4 linked regions of the Drosophila melanogaster genome follow. The protein of the gene in region 3 interacts with the protein of the main gene of each other region in a pairwise test. Each region holds a gene or a part of one and is shown on either strand. Other genes may lie near its edges. The genes, in order: CG1142, qless, CG14490 and CG5808.

What was found.
Region 1: the proteins of CG14490 (region 3) and CG1142 interact in a two-hybrid assay, tested with the Drosophila melanogaster proteins (one large-scale study listed by BioGRID).
Region 2: the proteins of CG14490 (region 3) and qless interact in a two-hybrid assay, tested with the Drosophila melanogaster proteins (one large-scale study listed by BioGRID).
Region 4: the proteins of CG14490 (region 3) and CG5808 interact in a two-hybrid assay, tested with the Drosophila melanogaster proteins (one large-scale study listed by BioGRID).

Annotation. Positions count from the first base shown.
Region 1 is NT_033777.3:7,471,917-7,475,727, forward strand, and holds CG1142 (uncharacterized protein), read right to left. Parts: upstream 1,866-3,811; 5' UTR 1,822-1,865; coding exon 1,345-1,821; intron 1,307-1,344; exon of another isoform or gene 991-1,306; intron 932-990; coding exon 563-931; 3' UTR 542-562; downstream 1-541.
Region 2 is NT_033777.3:31,249,587-31,254,232, forward strand, and holds the start of qless (qless), read right to left. Parts: upstream 3,023-4,646; 5' UTR 2,309-3,022; coding exon 2,096-2,308; intron 1-2,095. Other genes in the region: mRpL32 (mitochondrial ribosomal protein L32), read left to right, coding at 3,333-3,417, 3,473-3,712, 3,769-4,031; CG1750 (uncharacterized protein), read right to left, coding at 4,073-4,437, 4,493-4,646.
Region 3 is NT_033778.4:17,859,019-17,862,098, reverse strand, and holds CG14490 (uncharacterized protein), read right to left. Parts: upstream 1,340-3,080; 5' UTR 1,301-1,339; coding exon 892-1,300; intron 827-891; exon of another isoform or gene 771-826; coding exon 586-770; 3' UTR 508-585; downstream 1-507. Other genes in the region: thr (three rows), read left to right, coding at 1-501; orai, read right to left, coding at 2,305-2,841.
Region 4 is NT_033777.3:24,814,372-24,818,589, forward strand, and holds CG5808 (uncharacterized protein), read right to left. Parts: upstream 2,637-4,218; 5' UTR 2,582-2,636; coding exon 948-2,581; intron 886-947; coding exon 558-885; 3' UTR 532-557; downstream 1-531. Other genes in the region: CG34150 (uncharacterized protein), read left to right, coding at 1-121, 182-263, 327-493; Saf-B (scaffold attachment factor B), read left to right, coding at 3,246-3,365, 3,491-3,979, 4,040-4,067, 4,215-4,218.

The sequences.
Region 1 (3,811 bases), on a different chromosome or scaffold from region 3:
ACTTTTCAACATTTACTTCTTGACCAGCTTTATATGAAATTTATCGATCTGTTCTTCTACTTTGAAATCATAAATTTAAGTTAAACGAAATTAAAACACAGTCATTAAAAAATATATATAAAAATTGTTATAAAAAATCTTTCTGTTCCCGCCCGGGTTCGAACCGGGGACCTTGTGCGTGTGAAGCACACGTGATAACCGCTACACTACGGAAACTAGATGGAAGACATGATTCAAAGATTGGTTATAAAATTAAAAAGAAACTTTCCTCGTTCACTTATAACAATTTAGAATAAAGTTATCAATTTAGTTTGTCAAAAATATTGTTAATACACACAATATAAAGAATCTTACTGAGGAATATGATTTTTAAATATTTGGCCAAAGGAAGAGAACATAAAATAAACTCCTCTATTTCGCAGAAAGGTACTAACCATACGGATCTTGCGATACTCCACGATCTCTGGAGTGACTACTTTCTGACTTGACTATTTACCCCATCATTATTTAAGTTCAAATAAAATATAGAGACGAGTAAGTTAGGTTTTAAAATATTTTATATTTATTTATTTTTCTTAAGTTTTTTCATTTTCTTCAAGTTTTTCCGATAGGCGTATTTGTCTGTGCGCTTAATAACCTCGTTGAACTTCCTCTTGTTGAACTTCTGGAAGCTCTCGTCTTCTAACAACTCATTTACCAGCGACTGCTTCTTCTTGGACTTCTTTTCTTGGTAGTGATCCAAATGCGAAGGTAGCACAGTACCGATTTGGAAAAATTTGGGCAGACTCTTAAGGTCGTTCTTCTTGTAGAATTGCTTAGGGTTCAGAACCGATCGCATCTGAACTATTTTCAGTTCGTTTCGCATCTCGTCGGTGATCTCTGTGGCGGGCAGATTAAACCATCCCTTGCCCTTGGTCTTTGAGCGTTCAGCCTGAAAAAAGGAAGGCGATTAAAAATAAAAGCAAGGTAGGGTCTGAAATTTCCAATATGTTGCGCTCAGATTACTAAAGACGTCGTCACCATGACAAACAGCTTAGACCTAACTGGCTCCTGGGTCGACAAAAGCGCGTGTTTCATTTCCATTTGGGTGTTCTGTAAACCAGAGACTAAACTATCTGTCTAGGACTCAATGACAGATAATAGTCTTGATCCCTGGCTGTTGGTGTCCCGCTGGCCTTACGGCCACTGCAAATTCTGGAGTGCAGCAGCAAAGATTACAACGGATGAAACTAGATTTGCTAGAGTCTGAGCCTTAGGTCTTGTCGCCAATGCGCAAACTCCGATGTCGAATATTTCATCATGGGCAAAAGGGCTGTTTGTACGAACAAATCGCTTCACACTCACTCTGTTGATGATGGGTTGCTGCCTCTTTCCCACGGTGGGCAGTGCATGCGCCTGTTCTAGTCCTGGATTCAAGGCCTGTTTCGTCCTCTTCATATTACTTTCCAGGTTTTCCTGCCGCAGGTCCAGATGCGGAGCATCGTGGTTCAGTTCTGTTACCCGCTTCCGGGGCACTACTTTCGGTTTGCTGGAGTTCTCCACTGCACTCTCGACCTTTTCGCAGAGGTCCTCCAGCTGCTTGGCAACCTTGGATACCGGCTTCTTTCGGTCAGGCAGGGAATTCACGACATCGAGCACTTCCTTGGAGTTCAACTTTAGGCCAAAGAGCTCCACTGCGCCCTCATTTTGTTCCTCGTCCTCCTCGCTGTGCGCGTCACTTTCTGTCAGGAGCAGCTCTTTGTTGTACACAATCTTCTTTTGCTGCTGCTCGCCATTGAATTCCTGGCGTCCTGTTGTGTCTACCAGAAAAATAGAATCCATTTTGTGCGGCAACCACGCTTGTTTATAACATACAAACAGTGTGACCGTGTAGTAGTAGCACACACACTCACAGGTCGACTGTCAAAAATATACTAAATGCACTGCATGTAATTTGGAAAATACTAGCTCTTGGCAAGGGCATTCCTGAACATTTATTACTTAAATTACTTTTAGTTTAAAAAAATTTGTGTTCTAATTTAATTTTTCTGACAAGTACATTTGATCTAAAGGTTTAAATTCAAAAATTCACAACCGACTTACAACCTAATGGAATACCCCCAATTTTTATTTTTTCTTTGTTAAGGTATAACAATTAGTTGCTTAAGCAATTTTGAACGTACAATTAAGTAAACCTCCACATAAAACATCAGTTCCGAGTGCGAGGACCGATAACTTCGTGCTTGGTGGACCTAATAGCTGAATACTGCCTAAATGTGCCAATGCTTCTAAATTGCTTGGTAATAGTCGTCATATTGCAATGCTCATGGAAAAGAGATTATTGAGTATAAGTAGAAATACATATTTAGTTTTTGGAAGGAAACTTTATTCATGAAATCGATATGCATTAAAAATCTCAAAACTTAAAAACTAGTAGAAATACTCTTCGAAATCCGTAATGCTACACATGCCCGTATATTAGTATCAAGATACCGTTTGCCTGTTACGAGCAAAAATGCATTTGGGGTTCTATTTTTGAGAGTTCTAGTTTCACTGTAAAAAAAGAAATTGTTACTTTCAAATAATAAGTTGTATAAATATGCATTTTAATAACAAAATAAATAATAAATAAATATTGGAACGTAGTTCGCTGCAGCAAAAGAATGGGCAAATTGCTCGGCAATGCCGCGTACATGGAAGTGTTCTGAACAGCAAATTTGTTACGAAAATCCGAAGCTAAGCTACTAAGTTACTTAACCAACAAATTTTGAAAGTGGCTGACTCGGGCAACTGTCGCCGGCTTCAGCACCGGACCGCCGCCCGTCCCCGCCCAATACGGCTTCCGGTCGAGACCAGAATCCGCGGGGTGGTGGGGGCGACGGATCGGGGGTGCATGACCGTGCGTCGACCGCCGGATAACCCGTCGTCATCCAGTGGAAGGCAGCGGAAAGCCGATCCGAACGAGGAGCCACGGCAACGCCAGGCAGAATTACTGGGAAACACAAAGGTGTGACGGAGGGTCGGCTCTGAACAGATCTGATAAGCAGATGCAGTTACCTGAATATCGATCAATGTACAGAACAATCACAGAATACACTTCCGAAGTAACGGGAAGCAGATATCGTATTTATACGAGTATTTGACCAAATAAGCACTTGGGAATTACAAGCTGGCAGTCGGGCAAACGTGCTGTATGGCAAACCAAATCGGGGTGGGTTTTGCCATTGCTTATGCATACCCGTGTATGAACGTTGCTTTAAAAGCCTGTGAAATCAAAAGTATAGTTTCTATGTAAGAAATTTAAATTGTTTCATAATGACTGAGAAATGCAGAATGGTAAAAAAATAACAATAGGAAGTATATATTCCTGAATTGCCCTCGGCTGGGCTCGAGCAAACGAAAGATTCTTCAAAGTGGAATGACAGCATGAGTTTGCTGATACATATTTTTATATGTGTGCCATACAGCGGTAGGTAAACAAACAAGAAAATCAAATGCATTTATAGATTTGTACCCTTTGTAATATGTGTTCAGAAAAAGATGTAATTTTTAAATTAGTTAAAATAATATGAATAGAATTTTTTTTTTAAATTATTATTTATTAAGTGAAGAATCCGTACATCGAACACTATAAAAATAAAATAAGTGAAGTAGGAACATAAATGATTTGGGGAATTGCGACCAAATCGAATTATAAACGTATCCAGGTGATGCAAAATCGCGCATGTACGTAACTCTACACTCCATAAAGACCTCAATATTCACACAGTTGAGACACAAATTGGGAGAAATACAAGTCGATATAGTGACAGCAAAGACCCTAGAATATTCT
Region 2 (4,646 bases), on a different chromosome or scaffold from region 3:
GGATGCGAGTTGGGCACACATTCAATTTGGCGTTGAATGAATTTTTATTCGGCTCCGAAGTGAAACAAAAAAGGGTCTTAAACAACTAAAATGCATAAATAATTCGATGACAACGACTGCATACAAAATTATCAAACTTTTTCCAATATGATTGGGAACATTTATTTATATGTGAGTACTCCATATATTATTGAAGTACTGCTACTTGCTTTTAACTATACTTGTATCGTAAAGATATCAAATTGGCCCAATAACACATTTGGCTTCTCGCATTTTCGGGAGGCAAATGCAAACCCCCAACCTTTCGGAGCAAGGTCTTTTTTACGGATGTCAAAGGTGTGCATTAAAGTGAATTAACGAGCACTTAACCTGTTTTATATACATATGTATACCCAAAAAGCGACCAAAGTGCGGCCATATAGATACAAATAAATATGATCAAGCCAAGGCTGGCCGCCAAAATAGCCAATGCACAAACTGCATTCAACTTGCTGCATTCGCAATGCTAAAGCAATTAAATCAAAGTCGTACTCCCGAATGCCACCCCCCCCCCAGTTAAATGGGTTGGCTTAAATGGCGTGCCATAAAACAATAAACTAAATAGCAAATGTGAGAAGCCGATGCACTAATCGCGGCCTATGCATACATGCCTACTCAAGGTGTACATAAGTGAGTAAGTAAGCAATTAAGCCGAAGGCTTGACTAGCCAATTGAATTTCAAGACAATTGCCCGAAGTTCCTTCTGGGTTTTTCCGACTCACAACAAAGGCTGGAGATGTTCCCCAAGAAATATGACCTAGGAAGGCAAATAGCTCCATAACTCTATAATGAGCTCGGTTATTTACGACCCTTTTGTTGCACTCAGTGCGTCATTCGTGGGATTTAAAAAATTACATGCATTTCAATCGTTTTATTTGTTACAGTAAACTCGCTTTATAGTGCCGTAACAATAAAATATTATGGGAGAAAATTAATATTTATATTTGACACCTGAGGCAATGTCAAGATGTTATTATGAGTTATTAGTAGAAATATGTAGTTCTCATGAAAAATACCTTCCTTATTCCTTTAAGTGTATTCACCGTATTTGCAATAGTTAATCTATCTAGTGAAATAGCAAATAGCTGATAGTGTTTACCCCGACTGATAAGGGTACAAAATCCGCATGTTCGACACAATACAGAACAGAACACAATTGAGATATTACGTATACGCGCAGTTCCCAGTCAAGTGGAGCACAGTTTTGGGGGCACTGGCCCCCAATCAGCTGTTTATTGGCGCCACAAATAGCGCGAAAATCAACAACGCGGGCGATAAATATTGATAAATACGAGCAATAAACCAGAGCTCAAATGCAACCAGCGAAATTGCATAACTCAAAGAAAAAATGAAAAAGGAAGAAAAACACTGCAGGCTAGCGACTTGTCAACGATATAAAAATAATGACAAACTACAGACAGACCAGAAAGAGACATAATTATCGGGCCAGAAAGAGAGGCAGATGAAAAACTTCACCTTGCAAAAATGCGGGGAAAAACACATGGAAACGTTGCGGAGAAAAACAGAGGCGTTCGGCAAATGGTAAAAAAGCCAAGGCACAATAATAAATAAATGCGCCAGCTTCCGCCAACAACAACACTGCAACTGTGGGCGCAACAAGTTGTTTTTCACGCTACTTGCACAAAAGCAATGGCCAACAACCAACAACCAACAAGCAACGGACAACTGCCAGCAACCAATTTCACTTTCATTTTCTTTTTGGCTTTGCAGCGAAGAAAAGAAAAGCGGACAGCAAAAGCCAAAGTCACGCAGACGCATTAGCGGCCAAAAGAGTTGGCTTGCAGCCAATGCACTCTGCACGGCAAAAAAAAAAAACTAATACATTTTCAATCCAATTTTATAAGGATTTATTTCACATTTGCAAATTTTAAAAGGAATCACTTAAATTGTACTGCTTATAAAAAGTATCTTTTCCTTTTCAAGTTTACCAGAAATGAAATCCTCATATTTTCCATATTTTTCTAACTTCAACTATTTTTACCATTTAACACAACACTTTTCTCGCTGTGTAGGCTTCGCCCGACAGTGAACTTACCAGCAGATCGGGGTAATCCTTGCCCATGCTGAAGCTTAATCCGTGGTAGAGTCGCATGGCCTGCTGTTGAACTTTGGGCGGACTGAATAATCCGGTTGCGGCGGACGGGGCTGTATATCCTGGCCGGGATCCGAAGAGCTGATAGAGCAGCTTGTGCGCCTGCTGGCGACGCGAGCCGCACACGACGCGACCGGAAGTGCTCAAGCAGGCCATTTTGTGGGTTTTGTTTGTGAGGATTTGTAAGTAGCAGGGCTTATGCGATGGTTTTTTTTTTTGTGGGAAGGGTAGGATGCAGCTTCTTGATCGAGACACAGGCACAGAATTCAACAGGTGAACAGCATTATAGTGGGTTTTGTTTATGTTTTTTGCAGGCTCGCAGGATTTGAAAAACGCGCGATTGTGTGGCGAGTTCGGGGTATCGATGGACTAACGATTTCGAGGCGACGGCGAAGCGCGGTTTGCTTGCGTTTGGCTTCAGCAGCTCCAGCGAAGTGTTTTCGCTTTTTGTGGATTTTTGAATCGATGCGCGTGCGCGCGGTCAGGTGTGGTGGGAATCCCACTGGCCGACTGTGGTGGAAACGATCGCTCACGAAGGTAAGATCGGCTTGAACTTGAACGGGGATTTCGGTGGCTAAGGCAGCCACGCGGTTTTACAGTCACTGGGGGTCGAGGTCTGTTTGGATGACCCCAGGCTACCTATGGGTCACACTATTGGAGGGATATATCTGGACTCAAGCGTTGCTCACAGAGGTCCTATGGCCACTACCGCCACTACCAATTAGTCCCGCCAGTGTCCTCATGTTCCGCAACAACTGGGACGCTCAAAGATCCCGATGAAAACGCGTTTTTCCGCCTGGCAAATAGTTTTTATTTAACTCGCACGCAATTTGCACCTTTTCACTACTTTATTTTGACGTAACAGTGCAGAACAGCTGCTGCGAACAGCTGTTTAGGGTTGCAACGTGCGCGGTGACGCAAGGCAGCCGGCTAAAACGTAGCACTAGAAGTGTGCAACGTAAGGCGACAAAGTCTGCAACCTTAAAACGGTAGTTATTTACGGATGCTGACATTATTTTAAAAGTAGTTACACCATTTTTATTGCTCTTTTTTGAATTAACATTTTTACATCTATTTTGTGCCTTACTTACGTTTTTCTATAAACATATCGATAGCACAGCTGTTTCCTCTTGCGCATCTCTAATCACGTTTACGTAAATTTCAGAAGAGCAGCAACAAGATGTCTAGAAATTTGTTTTTATCAATTACAAACTTTATTAGGAACTTAGAGAGCTTGTTCCTGCCACATGGAGGACACCCTCCTGGTGAGAAGCACCAGCCCAAGATAAAGTTACCCTGACTTACCCACTTTTTACACAGCTTTAGCGTTGGCCGGTTTTCAGCATGATCACAGCCCTAAATCCTCCCAGGAATTCAGTTTGAAGCAGCTTATTGGCGACGGATTGCTGTGGGCTGTTCCGAAGCACAGAAGATCCGTGGAGAAACGCCTGAAGCGGAAGTTCGGATATCCGGAATACAACTGGAAGCCTTTGAGGGAGAAGAGAAACCTCCGCTCCTGTCTGCAATGTGGCCATGACCACGAGATGGGAGTTCTTTGTCGTAAGTAGCCTTAAAAGTATACAAAGAGGTAGCCACCTTTAATGTTGCTCTTCCAGCCTTCTGCTACCAAAAGGTCCTGAAGGAGACTGAGCTCATGCAGTCGAAAATCCAGGAGACACTCGGTCTAGATCCCGTGGACAAGGAAGTAATCGTTCTTTATGAAGGCGAGAAGGCCGAACAGTCCACAGATGATCTGAAAAACAAGCGCATCGTGGAGATGAAGAAGCCTCGTCCCATGTGGTTCACCAAGAATCTGCTCCAAAAATCCACGCAGCAGCTGTCCGAAACCAAGGAAGTCAAGCCCTCCGACTTGGCCTAGATACTAAGCATCCATTGTGCATTAAATCCACACGTTCGTTATCAAATCGATGCTATTTTATTCTCTGTGAAGGATAAGGACCTTGCTTGCTTCAGGAATCCGTTGTTAAAGTCCTGGGCACTCATAGGTTTTCTACCTTCCACGCGTAACTGAAGCACTTCCAACTGACTCTGCTGAGCACATCCGATTATGAGGGATCTCGACTTCCTTAGGTAGCTGATGGCACCAGGTTCTTGGACGGGAACTCTCTTCTCCGGTAATCGCAACTCCAGCAACTGCACTTGCTTGCCCAAAAAGTTGGTTGTAAGGTTTTTGTAGCCATACAAAGCTCGATGACGAGTGTATATTTCAATGGCACTCAGCTCGGACCAGATAATTTCTGTGATTTTACTGGTAATCTTGGGAGCTGAAGGCAAAAATATAGTTTATATAGGTTCTCGAAGTGCTTAGATATGCTTTACCATAGCTGACCCTTGAACTATCTTGGGGTTTGGCTTCCTTAAGTCTTACTGATAGGTTGTTAATAGTATCCACAAGTAACTCGGCTCCTAGCGACGCCAAAGATGCATGCAGATCCGGCATGAAGACATCGGGATTAATAGCCACTTCTCGCTG
Region 3 (3,080 bases):
ATAGGATCGGTTTCAGCAGTCAAGAATACGGCGTCTAAAGTTAAACAGTCGGCCAAAAAGGCACCTCGATTCAGAATTTACGAGGAGCTGGAACTACGACCACCAAGTGCTACCAGTTGCAGTAGCAGCGGTGGCAGCGGAACAGAGAATACACCGCCTTCGGATCACGTGGATCTAAATGCCTGCCAAGCGATCGAGATAAGCGACGATGACGATTCACCTTTGGTGTCCACAAAGAAGACACAACCAAAAAGTAGGGAGAAGGCAAAACCCAAGGCCACATCCAAAGCTTGTAAAGTCCTAACATTGGATAATAGCTTGGAAATAGTAGAAACGCCGACAATAACTACAAGTACACGGAGCACCAGAGCCAGGCTGCGCCAACCAGTAGAGACACCAAAGACAGCGACTCTTTCATCCAAGCGAACGAGGCGCCAGGTTTTGGAAGCACAGGCTCCCGAAACGGAGTCCATTAGCACACGCACACGGCATCGGCACTGATTAGATAGTAGTCTCCTTAGTTCGTATTTATTCTTATCGAAAATGTCTTGGTATTTAAATATATATATATATTGTGTGTAAGTGTTACAAAAGAGCTTTTGACATAAATTCATTGTTTTTATCTTGTGGCAGGGACAGTAGTGACGTTCTACAGATGTCCTTGCTCCAAAAACCGTGCTGAATCCGCTGTCCATTGCTGGCATGGTAAAATACACCTGAGCCCGATTTGCAGCCTCCTTCAAATTGACCCACGTAGCGATTTCCCGTTGCTATGGATAACATATTAACTTATTATCTATAATCTTTATGCATTTTTAAAGTTGCGAAAAAATAAATAAAATGAAACAAATACATCCAAAGGAACATATCTTATTTCTTTATCACACTCACCCGTGAAAAGTAAACCCTTTTCGTGCATCTTGTCCCGAAGCCACTCGCCCACATAGATGCCGCCATCCGCCTGCCATAGGATGCCCTCTCCACTTCGCTGGTCCGCTAGCCACTGACCAAAGTAGACGGATCCGTCCGGATAGAACTGCTTGCCCTCGCCACTCCGCTTGTTCTCCCGCCACTGACCCACGTAGATGCGTTCCATGCGGCCATCGAGCTCCTTGCGACGCAAACTTCCGATGCCATGCCGTTGACCCTTCTGCCAGTGACCCTCGTAGACAAGTCCACTGCTCGTTTGCTTTACCCCAAACCCGTGAGGCTGCTGGCCCAACCATTTGCCCTGGTACTGCCCACCAGGATAACGTTGAGAGCGAACTCCACTACTATATCCGCTCGTACGCGACGACATGTCTTCGATGACTGAGCGCGGGAGCAAGTCCGTCCAATTGCGGCGGTGCCATGTGGTGTCGTCCGACTTTAGGCGGCGGTGTGCGTGCGGTGGTGTCACTTGTCTAATCGAACCCCCCCAGCCAGCAGCAGCATGTCTTGCCACCATTTGGCTTCCTCCAGCAGCGACACGCTAACTTAAGGAGGCCAAAGACATTGGCTCAATAGAAAATCGTTTGTTCCGGTTAAGTGTATGTAGTAAAAATCGTTTAATCAGTCGTATATAAATTACAGCGCTATTTAGCTTACATCGGTAAAGATCGAAAATAGACTGTTATATTTTCCAAAACTATTGGAATACCTATGAATATAATTCGTATATAAATATTGCAGTACATTTTCAAATACTTTATTTTACAATTGTTTTATGTTGCATATAAAATATATCAAATTGTCTCTAAAATTTTGCATTCTTTTAATCCGCATCTATTGTTCAGCTATATATCACGATTAAAAATAAAACTCCAACACCATATATATAGAAAATTCTTTTAATCATAAATTATATGGTATAAATTACAGCGCGGTTTCGCTTACACAATTGGCTTAATATTAAATTTGACAATCAAGTTGTGTCTTAAACGTAAAAAGGGAAGACTGCCTAAGGATGGTTGCAAAAAAAGAAAATCCGGCATGGCATACAATTTAAAATACACGCAATATAAATATGTAACAAATATCAGCTAATTTTTTGAGGAATATTCATCCGAAGTATTGCTTTAATTGGGGTCTTTTATCATTGTCAATATCCGTGCTAATCCGCAATTGCCATAAGTAAAATAAAGGACTACAGCAGCACTCGCACATATATATATATATATAGTAGAAATCTACTGAATTCCGCGTATCACAATTTTAATCAACTACAAATTTACAATATGTGTGTTTCACTAAAAATAATCTGAAGCTTACCCTGAGCCGCTGTCTTTTTCGTTCGATCCACTTGTGCGGATACGCCAAGTGATGCTAGACAATGTCCCCGGATGCGCCATAGTTCATGCCATTATTTCGTATGTTATTGTGATGCTCCAAATGATCCTGCTCCATCTGCTCCTTGAGCATCTCCAGCTCACGGATGCCCGAGACTGTCACCTCATATTTGTGCGACACCAGGGAGCGATAGAAGTGAATGGCGAAGGCCATAAAGATGATCATCACCGGTATGAGGACCACACACGCTGACCAAGCCGCCGGCGGACTTAGGTCATAGAATTTCACCCAGCACAGGATGGCTATCTCCAGTAGAAAGAGTATGAGTCCCAGCAGCGTGGAGAATGCCCACGCCGTTTCAATGTACCAATGGAGACGCTCGTGTGGCGATTCGTGGACCAGGGAAATACTATGCAAATTACACACCGTCTCAATATTTGGCAGGATACAGGTGCTGATCATCAGGGCCAGCATGTGCACCGCCACCAGGAGGGTGGTGCAGATGGCGAAGGCTATCAGCATGCCCGGTGGTACATTCGTATCGTGATCCAGTTGCACCTCCACCATCGCCACCTATGTGAAAATTGCAAAAGTGAAGAAAGTCATTAATGATTTTTATTTAATTTTGGTTAGAAATCGAAACGATTCCCCGGCATCGCCTCTTATTATTATTAGCCATTTCTCGCGAGAACATTGCAAAATTGGCAAATAAGCAACTTTTCTCTTATATTATGTGATCTGAATGGACCTAATTTATCTGATCCGCCCCTAATGCCGCGCCTCCCTTTCTTCAGCATGCTAGGTGTACATGT
Region 4 (4,218 bases), on a different chromosome or scaffold from region 3:
CCACCGTACACGACAATACGTTTTTCAGGGGGATGCCAATGCTTTGGCGGCGGGACGACTAAAAATCAACGAATCTTTCCTGCAGAATCGTAATGAAAGCAGCGAGGATGAAATTCAAAAGGTTTAACCACTTTTTGTAAATTCTAACTAAGTACATATATGGCAATTTGGCAAATTACAGATGATCAAGCTGGCGCAGGACGTGGATTTGGAGCTGCGAACGAATGTCATCCAAGCCCAGAAAAAAGAGGATGGTGTTTATGGTCAGTGGGGCATGGCGATTACATAAAAGAGCGCTCAAAATTAAAATTTGGCTATATTTACAGAACTAAGGATCACGCCAGAGACAACGCGACTCGACAATGTGGTCTTTAATCCTGACGCAATTATCGAAAAACCGCGCAGGCAACGCGGCGACAAAAACACTGAAGGTTGCTGCGGTGGCGCTGCGATGGCGGCGCTGGAAGCCGAAGTCCAGGCCCGCAACAAATAAAAATATATTCAATATTTAGCTGTAGTCAAGATGGTTTTGTTCTGATTAATTACGTCGTTTATCTTTAATTTCTATTATGTTTCTTCTTCGATTTGTGACTACTCTTTGACTTGGACTTCTTTTGCTTGGATTTTGTACTCTTTTTGCGTTTGCTGCGATCGTCCGACGATGAGGAGCTGCTAGAGCTGTCCTCGGAACTATCTGAAGATGTGGAGTCGCTTTCGGATTCCGAGGAACTTTCACTCGAATCTGAACTGCTGCTAGCTGCTCGTTTCGATTTCTTGGCTTGCTTTTTGCTCTTTTCCACTGAAAGTTTTCTTTTCTTCTCATGACTCTTGTTAGGGCTTGAGTGAGTGTCCATTCTATGGTCTTCCCGGTTCCTGGATTGTTGCCTATAAAAAGATAGATAGATAGTTAAAGATTTTGTATACATCCAGATGCTTAACATTTTTACCTCCGCTCTGGCGATCTTCTTTGATTCCTGGAGGTTTCTCTATGCGATCTCTCATCGTTACGTCTTCCTTCTTGAGGGGAATGGAATCGCCTGCTGTCATTGCGATCTCTGTTTTGAGTCGGTCTTTTTCCAGTTTGATCTCTAGATCTAGAACGCCTTCTCTCATTTTGTTCCCTTGGCCTAGAGCGTCTTCTTTCCTTTTGGTCCCTTGACCTAGAACGTCTTCCTAATTGGTCTCTAGGCCTAGAAGGCCTTCTCTCTTCTCGATCTCTTGACCTAGAGTACCTTCTATGTGTTGCATCCCGAGACCTCGATGACCTTTTTTCATTGCGATTCCTTTCGCGATTTGAGTTCTCTCTGACTGACTCATTTTGCGATTTTTTCGATCTATAAACACTTTTTTCATCTTTTTCCTTCGATCTGGTGCGTCTTTGCAAATTCTTTCGAACATCTCGTTCGCTTTGCTCCTGGTGTCGCTGTTCTCTCGCTTTTCTTCGCTCTGCAGAGCTCATCCTATTTCGAAAATCTTCCGTCCTGTTGCGCTCCTTATGGTCTTCTGTTCTGGACCGGCCATTGTTTGGTTTCCTGTGATCTTTGTCGTCTCGCAAATTGTTAAAATCCAGCTTTCTATAGTCGCCCTCAATACCACGTCCTTTGCCCCGCCAGGTGACCTTTGAAACGGATTGGGAGAAGTCCACGTGGATGCGTCGATCGTCGATAAGCACATTATCCATTTTGAAATATGCGGCCTCACAAGATTTTTGATCCTCGAACTCCACAAAAGCATATTGCAGAGAATCTCCCGTTTTGCGGTCGCGAATCACCTCACATCCTTTAAGCACGCCGAAGCTACTAAAGATTATCTCCAGATCATCGTCGGTTGTAACAGGATTGAGTTTGCACACAAACAAGACATTTTCTGGCGGAGCCATGTCTGCATCGGGTAAATCGCCGACAATCTCAAGGATTGTGGCTCGAGCCTTGGCCTCTCGTTCGGCCAGCATCTCCTGCATCTCCTCCGCGGTCATGCCATCAGTGTCATCGATATCCTCGTCGGCAGCGATGCGCCCGTTCTTCAGACGCTCCGCACTGGGCGAAGGTGAGCGACTTGGAGCCTGAAGGCCGCGCGGATTAGGAAACGGATCCTCAAGCACAACAGTGTGTGTGATGCGTATATCCTGGTAAGGACGGAAGCTGTCGTCAACAATGGCGTCGTTTAGCTTGCGCAGCACCTCGTGACCTTCCACCACTTCACCGATAACGCAGTGGTTGCCGTCCAGCGATGTTAGGTTCTCACCCAGCGTGAGGAAGAACTGGGATCCCACCAGATTCTTGCCTGCACTGACCAGCGATAGCATTCCGGCACTGGAGTGGTTAATCTTGGGCAGGAACTCCGCCTCGAAGAAGCGCTTTTGCGGACCCTCCACCACGCCCCAGATGGAGGATCCGCCGTCTCCAGCTCCACTCGGATCGCCTGTTTGGGCGATGAATCCCTGCTGCACCGTGTGAAATAGATTGAAGTTATAGTACTTCAGCCGGCACAGCTTGAGGAAGTTTAGGCAGGCAATTGGGCGCTCGCTGATGAACAGGTCGACGGTCAGGTCACCCATCGTGGTTTCTATAACCACCGACATTGTGCGAATTCACAGATACCGGCAAAATCAAGGGATAAACAAGAACAATATAGAGGTGGAGAAACATCGATGCCAAATCGATATCATCGATGCTTTCGAAAAATCACAAACATCGATGTTTTTCGAGGAATCATCGATGTTTTTCCATCTCTACTGCGCATCGGAGGAGAGAAGTGTATAAATTGTAGGTATAAATTAATTATCCAAATTTTCTAATACAATTATTAATTTAATGTGACTTATGTCGGTGTTATATGAAACTTGTACAAAATTGGTATTTTACATAAATTTTGAAAAAAAAATATTTTTTTTTATGTACCCTAAACTGAGAAAAAAGTAAAAAAAATACAAACTGAACAAAACTGAAAAAAAATAAAGAAAATACAAATTGATCAAAGAAGTCCATACCTGTAAATGTAAATAGTTATACACGATGCGTAAGTTCATCCGATACTTGACATCGATTGAATATTTTAAAAACAGAACGTAACTTCGTAATCGCCATTTTCGATTGTCATTCGATAATTGTGTGTGTATCAGTGAGACTTGTCAAAGAATTTTCACACGTTTCGAGACTGGAAAAAAGTACAGAAAATTTCATTCCAATCTTAAAAAGCGACAATTAATAGTTAAGCAAGTGACCAGTGATCTAGAACAAGGTAAAATGCCCGAGGCAGGAAAGAAAATAGCAGAGTTGCGCGTGTGCGATCTAAAGAGTGAGCTGGAGAAACGCGAGTTGGAGACAGTCGGCCCCAAGGCGGTGCTCATCGAACGCCTTGAAAAAGTAAGTCCACAAATATGTATGCAACTTAAATGGCGGTTCAGTGCCGCTGGCGATAGAGATAGTGATGCAATTTCCGGGGATTTATGAATGTGTGTAAGCAACGCCTGGTTTTTTCTAATTTCAAGTCACTCAGAGCTGAAGGGCTCGACCCGGCCACCCACTTGATTGTGCCGGGCGCGAAGGCCAAGAAGCCGTTTGCCATGCCCATGAAAGATCTCCAGTCGGAGGTGGTGATCAAGGAAGAGCCCATCGATGCCAATGAGGAGGAGGTGAAGGTGGAACAGCAAGATGATTACCAGAATGGCAACGACTACTCGCATCATGCCGACGACGATGGGCATGAGATTGACCAGGTGGGAGATGTGGACGATGAGTGTGTGATCCTGGATGACGACGATGAAGAGGATGAGGATCATGTGTACGACGATGAGCCCCAGAGCGGTGATGGCGATGCCGAGGGGAAAGCTCAGGACGATGGAGCCGAGAACAATGGCGACGACAAGGCTATTATCCATGGTGAGGAGGAAAACACCGGGGACACCGGAAATATGGACAATGACGAGTCAATCAATTTGACAATTGGGGAGGACGAGCAGAAGCTGCTGCACGATGAGGTGATTTTAACTATTTGGCCTTAAATTGATGTATTCTAATCCAATTTGTTTTGTCCTCAGGCTTCCGACGACAAATCTATTAAGTCTGGTATGTTTGCAGTATCACTCAAAACCATAGAAAATTTATAATTCATGACTAGAAATATCATGGCGTTTGTATTCATGCAATCGATTAAGAAATACGAAATACAAGAAATAAAGCTAATATGTTAATAAAAGTTATCCTGATTCACAGTCAA